Linked DNA regions of Neurospora crassa OR74A. The protein of the gene in region 2 interacts with the protein of the main gene of each other region in a biochemical or structural test. Links are inferred from orthologs where the notes say so. Each region holds a gene or a part of one and is shown on either strand. Other genes may lie near its edges.

The links.
Region 1: the proteins of NCU04252 (region 2) and NCU03889 form a complex in vitro, tested with the Saccharomyces cerevisiae proteins (2 studies listed by BioGRID). The link is inferred for Neurospora crassa OR74A from reciprocal best matches to the Saccharomyces cerevisiae genes SLY1 and SFT1.
Region 3: the proteins of NCU04252 (region 2) and NCU01741 form a complex in vitro, tested with the Saccharomyces cerevisiae proteins (2 studies listed by BioGRID). The link is inferred for Neurospora crassa OR74A from reciprocal best matches to the Saccharomyces cerevisiae genes SLY1 and BET1.

What each region holds. Positions count from the first base shown.
Region 1 is NC_026506.1:2,053,410-2,057,399, forward strand, and holds NCU03889 (SNARE), read left to right. Parts: upstream 1-1,190; 5' UTR 1,191-1,798; coding exon 1,799-1,933; intron 1,934-1,999; coding exon 2,000-2,161; 3' UTR 2,162-3,301; downstream 3,302-3,990. Other genes in the region: NCU03888 (DUF500 and SH3 domain-containing protein), read right to left, coding at 1-187, 246-349, 448-484; NCU03890 (stromal membrane-associated protein), read right to left, coding at 3,302-3,990. UniProt on the Saccharomyces cerevisiae protein: Vesicle SNARE required for retrograde transport within the Golgi complex.
Region 2 is NC_026505.1:5,366,372-5,370,628, reverse strand, and holds the start of NCU04252 (SNARE docking complex subunit), read left to right. Parts: upstream 1-1,388; 5' UTR 1,389-1,780; coding exon 1,781-1,823; intron 1,824-1,900; coding exon 1,901-2,874; intron 2,875-2,932; coding exon 2,933-3,390; intron 3,391-3,456; coding exon 3,457-4,111; 3' UTR 4,112-4,257. UniProt on the Saccharomyces cerevisiae protein: Able to suppress the functional loss of YPT1. SLY1 is essential for cell viability. May interact indirectly, or directly with YPT1.
Region 3 is NC_026502.1:2,582,600-2,586,494, reverse strand, and holds NCU01741 (SNARE complex subunit), read left to right. Parts: upstream 1-1,424; 5' UTR 1,425-1,639; coding exon 1,640-1,653; intron 1,654-2,261; coding exon 2,262-2,586; intron 2,587-2,684; coding exon 2,685-2,891; 3' UTR 2,892-3,389; downstream 3,390-3,895. Other genes in the region: NCU01740 (histone H2A.Z-specific chaperone chz-1), read left to right, coding at 1-132; NCU01742 (hypothetical protein), read right to left, coding at 3,733-3,895. UniProt on the Saccharomyces cerevisiae protein: SNARE required for targeting and fusion of ER-derived transport vesicles with the Golgi complex.

The DNA.
Region 1 (3,990 bases), on a different chromosome or scaffold from region 2:
CGTCGTTGAGAATGAAAACGAAATCTGTAAGCTCGAAACCGATCTGACCGCCGAAGCCGGCACCACCCGTAGCAATGGCGGTGGGGGCAGACCAGCTGCCGTCGGGGAGGCGGGCGACTACCAGGCCGCTACCGAAACGGGCAGATCCGAGGAAACCAGCTTTGATGACGGTGAGTATAGCAAGACCCTAGGAGAACGTTAACCACCTGGTCGCTTTCGTTGAGGTTGCGGATGCTGTTTCGTACCTTGGCATTCGCGAGCACTGATGGCGGTATCACCTTGTCGGGACCAAAGGCTTGTTTGGGCTCGATGAAGGAGGCGAGGATTTTACCGCACTTCTTACATTCCGCTGGTTACAGACGTGTTAGGATGTCGGATTCGGCGAAGCGAAGGGGAGTTGCGGGGTCGGGCTCGCACAGCACGGGAACCCCGGGGACACAAACTCACACGAAAGTGACGACGGAAGAGGGTTGTTGATACCCATCTTGAAGTGTCGAAGCGGAACTCCCTATAGCGGACTGGCGCGGGTCTTGAAGGGCGAGGGCGTGTAGAGCGGCTGCGGTGAGAATGCCGTGGAAATGCGACAGCGACAGCGAAATATTAGAAAGAAAGAAAGAGATGGAGTTCGTCAGTCATTTCTCGGGACACTGGCCGATCAATGCCTGCAGGCACACTGGCAGGCAAGCAAGTAAGCAGATCAGCCCGGTCAATTTCTTGTGTACATAGTAAATGCGAGGTTGGTACCTGGGCGTCCCCACAACGGCGGTTTGTCAAGATGCTGGGGAGATCCTTGGGGTCACTTGTTGTTCGTGATGAACGATCTTGTTCCCGGAGGATAAGCCTTTGTGCGTGCTCTTTTGTTGGTGTAACTGTCCGTTTGAGAGTTTGTTTTTTTCCCTCTTCTTCACAGATCGGAGTAACTGATGAGCGAGGCTAAACAGTGGCATGGAATTCATCACAGTCAACATTTGAAATGGAAGTACTTGGAAATGGAAGCTGGAGCTCGTGCCGCGCGTCATGTGAGAACTGTAGCACTGGACCCTCAATCACTGGAGACGCTGGGATGGGCTTGGGCAAGCACTGCCGCCGTGGGCTGTGCAGTAGCGTACACTACTGTACCTCTACTTCTCTACTTTACTCCGTCCCTGCGCCCTGCACCTTCCACTTTGAATACCCGGGCCTTGTCCAGCGGGCAGAGCAGAGCGGGCGTTCGTCGTTACGTAGGTGACTGACTGACGGGACCCAAAGTTGCAGTGGCCCGACCACGAGCACAATCAAATGGCTCCAGCAGGCTCCGCTCCCCCCGAAAAAGACCCCGCATTGACCATGCATGTGCTTTACGCGCAGCCACACGTAAATGGCCGAAACTGACATCATTCGCGACTAGGAGGCCGTAGCTGTGGCTGGTGTATGCATCAACAAGCTGCAGTGAGCCGGCCGCCCCCATCATGATGGATGCATGATCCCGGTGTCCTTTCATTGTGACCCTGAACTGAGTGCATCTGGAACCTGCTACAACCTACCCCCTTTTGACATCCCCATAGCACTCAGCAATACCTAGGAACACCACGGCTTCACTCCGAACAACGGACGCTGCAAGACACCGAAGCCGACCCCCGCGCGCGCGACAAAATAACACGTAATAACATCTTCGATAATACGAAACTCGGGCCATATCAGCGAGTTCCAATTAACCCGATACTCAAAACTGACGAGTGAACCTCCCACACGGCCGCTGAGCGAGTCGCAACATACAACTACGACCACAACACAACCCCCCCCCATTACCATTATCAAGATGTCCGCAAACTACGAGCGCGAGCGCCAAAATAATGCGCGCCTCGACGAGCTAGCCTCCAAGGTTTCTGCCCTTCGAGGTGTAACGATTGACATTTACGACCAGGCGCGCAACCACGAAGTTATCGACCAAACGGTACGGTTCCTTTGATTTTACTCTGCACAAAATAACAAACTGACAAGTCCCACCAACAACGAACAGACCGATACCTTCTCCTCCATGGGCTCTCAACTCAAAGGTTCCGCCACCCGTCTAGGCCGCATGGCCGCATCGGGGAACAAGGTCGCCATTCTCAAGCTCTCGGGTATTCTTATTGGGAGCTTCCTGGTCATTTACTATCTTTATCGACTTTTTGTTGGTTAAATGATTCAAAAAGTCACGACGTGTGAGAGGGCTAAAGTCGTTTGAATATTGGGTCTATTGGGTCTATTGAACTTCGACATGCGAATACATGCCAGGAAGCAAAAGGAAGGGAGGTTCTCTTCATCGGGTTCACTACAACAACACAGGGCGAAGGATGTAGAGGGCGGCACGATTCGATTCCCGACAAATATCAGGAATGATAAGACGGATGCGTGCGAAGCCGGACATCAAGACAGGATGGAGCTTGTCCGGATAGCTTGTTGGATGTTGGAGTGCTGGTACAGGCGATGTGCAGTCCGCTTGCTCCCACAAAAGCCGCTACTAGTATTGCGCAGAGGAGGTGCAATGTAGGGTGGGGCAATGGGTGGGAGGGTAGCAGGTCACGCAGGACCGTAGGTCTGTGTTTTGGTGGATTCTGAACGAAGTGTGGATTTTGGTTTACAGACTGGGCTTAATGTTTTGTCTCGACAACAGACGGGTAGATGCAAAGGCATAGCAATGGCGTTGACGGTTCGGTTTTGTTTGTTTATTTGGGATTTGGTTTCTGCGTACCTTAGGTTGTCATTGATACGTCGTGTCGTATAAGCCAGACATCGACATTTCTCAGTCTCATCCTTGATTTTTCATTTTGAAACTTCAAGGACATCAGAAGGACATTAATGAGGGCAACACACACCTTACAAAAGATAGGAGGATCCTATATAAAAGTGCATTACTTTTGCCCTACCAACGAACAATAACTTGTTGTCTATAATGTAAATATGCCAAAACAAAACATGACTTGCTGATGTAAGAATGACTGCGTTGTTCATCATTCCCCTATTTGTCACGCATAAACCATCATTTGCCTAACTCTTAACTAGATCAGACTCCCACAGCATAAGTACGACATGGTGTTCGTGGATAGCATCCCCTTTCCAGTCAGGTGGTATAGAAGGAAAAACAAGTTCGGACGCTTGATGGGTTTGGTTTGGTTTGGTATAAGTTTGTCCGAGCTATTTCTCACATCACCTGCCGGTTGATTATATATTTACATGGTCGGCATCAGGCGCGAGGACAACAGCAAAAATCCCAGTAGACTGCACTCGGTTACCTCTGAACCCCATGTCGGAGATCCCTGAATTGTCGTTCTAAGGTTTCTTATTGCCAGACGTTTGAGAACAGGTCGTCACTGCCACCAAAACCGGTAGCCGGCTTGGATCCGCTCGGAGCAGCTGGTGTGGTAGTGCTGCTCATCCAGCCCCCAAACTCCTCATCGGCCGCCACCTTTGGTGCTGGGGCAAAGCCGCCCGAAGCGCTGGGGACAATAGGTTGGCTTGCGAAGGAGCCGCCGGTAGTGGAGGAGGTGGTGGTGCTGTTGCCCCATCCAAAATCGTTAGAAAGAGGGATAGAGGTAACAGGTGCTGGCTTGGGCGGTTCAGGAGCCGCAGGCTTGGGGGGCTCAGGGGCGGAGGCCCACTCGTTGGAACCCCATACACCTGCATCTGACCAGGCGTTAGACGTCGCAATAGAGGCAAGAGGGTTTGGTGTTGTTGAAGTAACGGCTGCAGGGGCCGGCGTGGTTGCGGCGGGCTTGGAAAGGTTGAATGCGGAGCTGAAGTCAGATGAAGGCTTCGGGGCGGCGGCCGAGGGAGGAGCGGTAGTAGCAGTAGCTGTTGTGGAAAAGTCAAACAGGTCACCGAGGGCGGAGGAAGCGGGCGCGGGCTTAGAGGCTGGCGCAGGAGGAGGGGTTGATGAGAAGCCCAGTGGGCTGCTGATGGACTGCTTGGATTGGTGGGAGGATGTGGCGGGCTTGGAATCGAAGAAGCTGCCACCGCTTAGGCCGGAAA
Region 2 (4,257 bases):
CCCCACGCGTGCGCGGAAGACAACAGCGATGAGATTATCGCAGTTCGCTACAGCATTTCCTCTCTATCCCGGGTTAAAGAATGGAGAGGTCCCGACCTTGAACTCAGCTGAGCAGGCAGGTAACGAAATTAATCTTCAAAAGCCAGGGCCGCAGGTCGATCGGACGACTGCAGCTGCCAGGGAAAGAGACGACTTCCGAATGACGGTCGCGCAAGCAGAAAAACGCCCGAGACGTCAAGAAAACCTGCGCGTTTAAATCGCCTCTACAGCTTTGCCAGAACAGGGAAAAGATGTACGAAGAAAAGGACGCGACTATCAAGTACGACGATGGGCGATGCGACAAGGCGACCAAGGGCGACAAGTTGGTCGTCGAAGAAAGGAGAGATGCTGCTGATGTCAGGTCAGGGTGACGACGGGAGTTGAAAGGAAAAAAGTTGAACGTGAGCAGCGGTCGCGCAAATCAGGTGCGTTCCGCCGTTCATAAAAAGGGACTGACGCTTTGCGACTGGGCAAGCGGGTGCATGAGTGCAGTGGGCAGGCGCTTTCTCAACGAGTTTGCCAGTGACGGGAGTGCATTGACTGGCTGGCACGCTAGCGCTCACGGGCCGCCGACGCTCGTTGGCACTGGCGGATCACGGGCCTTTCTCCAAAAATGGCCCAGGCACGCAACGAAGTGGAAGTCAGCACACGTGTAGCAAGAGCTTCTGTGGTCAGTGCGCGTGGCAAGTGAAGGTGGAAGTGCCCCTGGGAAGTTGGATTTCTGTATGTAGCACGCTGGCACGATACCTGGAACCAAAGAGGAACCGGCCGTTTGTTGGGTTTTGGGTGGGTCCGCGCCAGCTGGGGGCAGGAATCAGTGGGAAATTGCAGCAGTGTTTGTACCTTACCATTTAATCGCTACTTCTACCTACCTCTAGACAGGCAGACAGGTTATGGCAGGAGCAGACATACTGAAAATACCTAGAGGTACGTACCAACCTACCTCTAGGGAAGGTATTTCTCTGGACCTTGAAGTTGTCCATCATACCTCTACACTTCTACGGATATAGGAAAATCGAGAGCAAATAAGACGGACGACATGGTAAATTGTCAGCGATGACACGCACGGGCTCAATCATCCATTCCTGGAACAGTCAAAGGTAAACGCCACAGAGACAGGAAGATGTCACAACTTGCTGGTTGCGGTGTCAATCGAACATTGGAGGACGATAACGGAATCCTCGTCATACCTCTACTGTGGGGGAAAGCTCTCAGCTCAGGGCGGCACCTCCTGTAAGTGGAGGTTAGCGGATATAGAAGGGAAGGGGTAAACAGTCCACTGGGAGACAAAGGCCACTGGTCCAAGCCGAGGGAGAGATGTCAGGTACCTTGCGGACCAGAGAAGACAACATACCTCCAGAAGTAGGTACCCAAGGTAGCTTCAACGGAGATATTCTGTTTCCTCACGTCAGCTTTCTGTATACCTAGGTACTATTGAACACGTAAGGATCTTCTGGACTCAGTACTGTAACATCTTAACACGTTTGCTCTTTCGTCTTTAAAAAGTTGCGGCTCTCTTTCAAAGTTTGCGAAAAGGCCAACGACTCGAGGCCAGCCTAGCGATAATTCGGTTCAAGGGACGCGATCACAAGCCGCCCCACCACTGTGACAGCGAGACGGGAGCTACTACCTTCCCTTCCACTTGCCTCAACAGCCTACAGTATTCTACAGCACCTCGGCCCCGAGTCCTCCTCCACGAACTTCCTGCCGACCAGCATAGCAATCACTTTAATACACAGACATGGCGCCAACACCAGGGAACTCTCTGCGCGACAAGCAGATCTGTATGTCCCACTGCCTTCCTATCCCCAAGGGTCACAATGCCAGACAGTCTTGCGGTGGACTGACACATGCTCTCTAGTGTCTATCAAGAAGCTCCTGAACCTCAACCAACCCCTCGAACCGACCGACGGCGACGACTCGAATGGCTTCCAATCCGCTTCCGCCCCCTTGCTAAAGGACATTCCCACGTGGAAGATCTTGGTCTTTGACGAGCTTGGTCGCAATGTCATCAGCCCAGTACTCCAGGTTTCGGATCTGCGATCCATGGGCGTCACGCTACACGTTTCCATCGCGGCCAACAGGCAACCGATTCCTGATGTCGATGCCATCTACCTTATCGAACCGAACGCCAAGAACCTCCAGCAAATCACCAATGATCTTCAGAAGAACCTCTATAACTCTGCCAGCATCAACTTCCTCTCCTCGGTACCACGGCCACTGTTGGAGGACTTTGCGGCGCAAACCGCTGTCGCCGGCACATCGGAGAAGATTGCCCAGATATTCGACCAGTACCTCAACTTTATCGTTCCCGAGCCGGATTTGTTCAGTCTGGGCATGCAGAAGGAGCATACATACTGGGCGTTGAATAGCGCAAAGACACAAGATGAGGAGTTGGACAGAGTTATCGACAGGATCGTCAGCGGCCTGTTTAGCGTGGTGGTGACACTAGGCGTCATTCCCATTATTCGCTGCCCCAGGGGTGCTGCTGCTGAGATGGTTGCAACGAAATTGGACCGAAAACTTCGCGATCATATTCTCAACTCCAAGGACAACCTCTTTTCGGCACACAGGGCAGCCGCTTCCAGCACTGGAACGCCAAAGCCCCTGCTCGTTATCATGGACCGTAATATTGACCTAATTCCCATGCTGTCCCACTCGTGGACCTACCAGAGTTTATGCGCCGACGTCTTTGGTTTGTCGGAATCGAACCGGATCACAATCGAGAGCCCCGTGGACTCCAATAACCCGGCCAAGGGCACCAACAAGAAGACGTATGATTTGGCTGCCGATGATTTCTTCTGGGCCAAGAACTCATGCCTGCCGTTCCCTCAGGTAAGCTGGAAGTGCAGACGGGACATCCTGAGGATGGTCTACTAACCAGGATGCTTAGGTTGCCGAGGACATCGACATTGAACTCACGAAATACAAGGAGGAGGCGGATGCTCTCACCAAGAAGACTGGCGTTAGGGATTTGGACCATTTCGAACAAGACTCGAGTGCAAGTGCTCAGCATCTAAAAGCAGCTGTTACACTCTTGCCCGAACTGCGCGCAAGAAAAGCCACTTTGGATATGCACATGAACATCCTTGCTGCTATCCTTGGCGAGATTCAAAGCCGACAGTTGGATAACTACTTCCAACTGGAGGAGAACGTGTTCAAGCAAACCAAGGCGCAAGTGCTGGATCAGATCAAGACGGCGGACAAGGGCAAGCCTGAGGATTACCTGCGTCTCTTTGTGATCTGGTACCTCAGCACGGAACAGGATGTGTCTCGTCAGGAATGGACGCAATTTGAGGAGGCACTCGCGGCCAAGGGCTGCGACACAACGTGCCTCTCTTACATTAAGCAGTACGTGCTACCCCCCTTTTTTTTCTTGGGCTTTTTCAGCCATTTCTGACTAACAATACCACACAGAGTCCGCGCCACGACCAAAATGACACAACTCACCACGGTAAATAATCCTTCATCCTCCAACCAGCAACAATCCGGGTCCTCGGACCTTTTCAACCGCTTCTCCGCCATCTCCAGCCGTCTCACCGACCGCCTCAAGGAGACGGGCGTGCCCACGGGCGCTCTCTCCAATAACGTGGCCTCTCTCTTGGGTGGCATCAAGAACTTCCTCCCCGAAGACCGCGACCTCACGGTAACCAAGATCACCGAGTCCCTCATGGACCCATCGGCCGCCAGCTCCTCGGCCATCGCCAAGACGGAACACTACCTCTACTTCGACCCGCGCAGCGCCAACGCGCGCGGCACCATGCCCCAGCCGTCGGCCATGCGGGCCCAAGGGAGCGGGTCATCCCTGGGCGGGCCCGGTGGCTTGCCAGGATCAAGTGGCCCGGGCCAAACGGCCAGTTTCGGGCAACGCAGACAGGGGTTCTCGGAGGCGATTGTGTTCATGGTTGGCGGTGCGAGCACGGCCGAATACAGCAATTTGCAGGAGTGGGCGGCGAGAACGACGACGGGAGATCGTGCGAAGAGGAGGGTGATTTATGGTGGTACGGAGTTGCTTAATGCTGGCAGCTTTATCAAGGAGGAGTTGGAGAGGTTGGGTAAGGAGGTTTCGTAGATTGATGGCCAAAGATGAAGGGGAAGAGTGAGGGGTGGAAGTGAGGAGCTGCTATATATCAGATTATAATTACTTTACTTGGTCAAAAGCGCTATCAAGCATTCATGGTTGCATCACGATGTTTATGTTGGTGTTGTCTTGCGATT
Region 3 (3,895 bases), on a different chromosome or scaffold from region 2:
GTGATCAGTGGTCCCCGCACTCGCCAGAAGGAGATCGACTATGCCAAGGCCGCTCAGGACTTGCCTGCCGAGGAGGACGATGAGGAGGACGACGAGGAGTTTGTGCCCGAGGATGAGGAAATGGAGGAGTAGTCCGAGGCTATCTTCTGATTTCCTTTGATGGTTCACAACAACAACAACAACAACAACAATGACAACAGATTCTTGTTTTCTTTCTTCCTGGGTTTCCCCGTTGGCTCTGCGCTTTGCTCGCTGCCAGTGGTTGAGTTTTATGATGATCACGAGCTTGGAGATGTAAGCCGTCTTTTGGCTGATTGCTAAGCCTGATTGGCTGGACCTATTTATGTACGTGAATGTCAGCTATAAGGCCTGGGGTTGTTTGGTTCAATGCGTTGGGAGTTCCCACAATCAGAATTTGGCAATACATGATAAGGGTGTAAGTGATCATTCGTTTATCAGTTCAGGTAGACCGATCTCTTCTGTCAGCCAATTTCAAAGTATCAACATACTACGTACGTTGGTGTATCAGAATACGCTTGATCGCTTGTCTTCACTAACCTAACCCCCATAAGTGGAGACATTGGATGATTCCCCTGTCAGCTCAAGGGCAGTTGGCCTGTTGAGATGGGGTGCCACTAAACTAACCGCGAGGCAGCCTGAAGGGGGTGATATGTCTACGGCTGACCTATGAAAAGGTAATATTCCGGCGAATTCTAGAGTTGCTATGACCATCGAGATTTGATATCGGTCCTGTTCCTGGAGTACACAGCAGACGTCAGGAACCGGAGCATCGCACCAGCCACCAACAAGGTTCGCGATCTTGGCCTGATCCACCGGGTATTCTACGCAGTACCATACACCAGCTTCTTTGACGCCAACATCTGTGAGAATGCATGCCTTCGACTTGGAAAGCTTCAACGATTCTGAAAGTCTCGGATTTGGGCTTAGATTCGCTTCAATAAGTCCATACTTGAGTCTATGCGCCTTGCGCAATCTAACGTGGATCAACTTATTGCTGACGCGACAAGCTGAGAGAGAAAAAAAAAAAAAAAAAAAAAAAAAAAAAGGTAGAGGAAGAATGGAGACGCTGAACGCCCAATTAGCCAATATCAGTGGAAGCAACACGGGCACCTCTCGGAGGGACTTTGAACAACGCCGAACATGAACCCTCCGACATAAAGAAAAATTGAATGATTAAAACCAGATACATTGGGGAAAATAGTGTCAAGTTCTCTCGGAGAGGAAGACGTGACACCAACCCAGATGTTCAATCAACGTGTCCTTGTCAGCATCATGCGGCACGAACAACATTGTACCTTTTAGCCATTACATATGTATCACCCAGACACGGACTGACGTTGTAGTTTATGTACATGGACGGCGCACCAAGGTAACATCTGGCCAGAACAGGCCTAACAACCACCCAAACTAAAAAGGGGGATCTGCCGGCGCTGGCGGCCAAGGGTCCACGGGCATTCAACTTTATTTTCTTTCTTCACCACCCGCACACCCCCCGCCCGACGCTACCTCTATGGAACCTGCCAATTCATCATCTCTAATACCTACCCACACTCTTACAAGTTAGCTAGCATTTACCTGTCAGGATTCTCGAAGACGGATCGACCTAAATTTGCTCTCCATGATGGCTTCCAGGTGAGTGCGATTCTCTTGTACGTTCGTCTTAGCATTGCACCACACCACACGCAAATGCCACCTTTCACATTTCGAAATGCGACTTGGCCTGTCAACTCGACCAAACCCACGACCGACACGCGATGAAGCGAGCGGCCGACCGAGCTGCCCGGCTCCGGTGAACGGGTGTACGATATTGCCACCGGAAGATATCTGCGGACCAAAGGCAGCAGCTATCGATGTTATGGTGGTTGGTTTGACAAGTCACGATTTCTCGACCTGCCCCCCCTGGTCATGGCGCGACGGCCTCAACTACGTCATCGCTCTGGTTTCAGAGTCTCGCCAACACGCCTCCAACCATGCCATGGTAGGATACGATACGAGTTCACTACCGTGATGTGATGCAGTCGCAACAGCGGCGCAACCACAGCAGCACTGGCGACGAGAGCGAGAATGACAGCGAAACCGAAAGCGTCAACTCGATCCATCCACCATGCCCCCGGGTCGTCCTCGATTCGACTTTGACCACCCACCACAACCCCCATCCCACCAACCCCTTAATCCTTCGAACAAGACAAGACAACACCCTTCTAACAATTAGTCCGCTTTTCTTTTTCTCCGGAGTACAGATTTGCACATTCCTCTCTACACCAGCGCGACCCGCGCAGCGACCTTTTCAAGGGCTACTCTGGCTCCAGCGCAGCCGAGCGCCGCTCGGCCAACGCCAGCCCAGCAAGGTATGGCGGTGGCGGCGGATACGGGTACGGGGGCGGCTATGGTGGCGGTGGGAGTTATAACGGCAGCTCGTCAACACTGGGGATGGAACGGGGCGGGTTTAGGCCTGCTACTCCAAATTCAAGGGGCCAGTACAGCGACGCAGTCCTCAACGAACTCGAGAGCCAGAATGATGAGCAGGTGGAAGGGATAATGGGTAAAGTCAAGATTTTGAAGGATGTATGTTTTTGTTCTCTCTTTCTGCTCTCCTCCCTCTCTCCCACTTCCTTCTCTCGCAAGCCACCCATCAACTAACCCCATCCCTCCCCCACAAACAGATGACTATAGCCATCGGCGATGAAATTCGAGACTCCTCCGCCCTCGCCGAGAAGATGAACGAATCCTTCGACCAAACCCGCCTCCGACTCCGTGGTACCATGAACCGAATGCTCATCATGGCACAGAAGACCAATGTCGGGTGGAGGGTGTGGCTTGCCTTTTTCGCTGCCGTGGTGTTCCTCTTTTTTTACGTGAGGTATCTCTAGTATCCTTCCAAGGTCAAGGTTTTTCTGAACTTGGAAGAGAGAAAAAGAAAGAAAAGAAAAAGACAAAGATGGAGGGATATGTTGGTCGGCGGAGTGGTCCTCCTGCTGCTGCTGCTGCTGCTGCTGCTGCTGCGCGGGGCAAAGCGATATGTTCAAGAATGATGGAAACGAGAAAAGAGACCATATATATGCAAAGGAAAGATGGGATAGTATATATATGGCTTTAACGATGGGTAATACCAATGGATGATGAGGAAAACGGAAGGTTCTAGGTCAAAGTGGCTGACTACCTTGTGGGATAGAAAAGGCATGGATATGGGTTGCCCTTGGTAGATTGCGGGCGGACTTGGTTTTTGCATGCTGGCGCCGGGGAGTTCGCGTTTGTTAAGTCGTTCGGGTAGTATCAGAAGTCGGTTTTTTTTGGTTTTTTTGTGGTACCTAATTATTTTAATCATTCTTAATCCGTTCTCCAACCAATGAGGTTCAATTATCTGGTTTAATCCACTGATCAATCATGAAGCTATATATGGGCTCCCACAAACGTGAAGTGGATAATCATTGAGCGTATAACAGACAGTTAATCAGAACTGCGTGTAGACTACCACTGCATAGACCAGACCATTGCTGTAACGAAGATCAAAGTTGTCTTTTGACGGACATTATCTATTCAATCCTGCTTCCCAAGCCACCAAGTAGCTACCCATACTGCCATGATCCCAAGACTCCATGCGCCAGACTCAAACGACCTGTTATTGAATGATGCTTGCTGACCGTTCCTACCACAACTCCTCAGTTTTAATCCTCCCTTGTTTCTCTTTCCGAACCACCGCGGACCTTCATTCTAGTGCAACCTCCTCACCCTTGGACTGCTTCTCATCATGGGACTACTCTCATCAACAGACAACAGCCCACTGATATCCAGACTGCTCCTTGGCGCTCCAATTGTGCTCCGCCTGGCATTTCCCGCAAGACTAGTCCTCAACAGCCGCTGCTGCTGCTGCTGC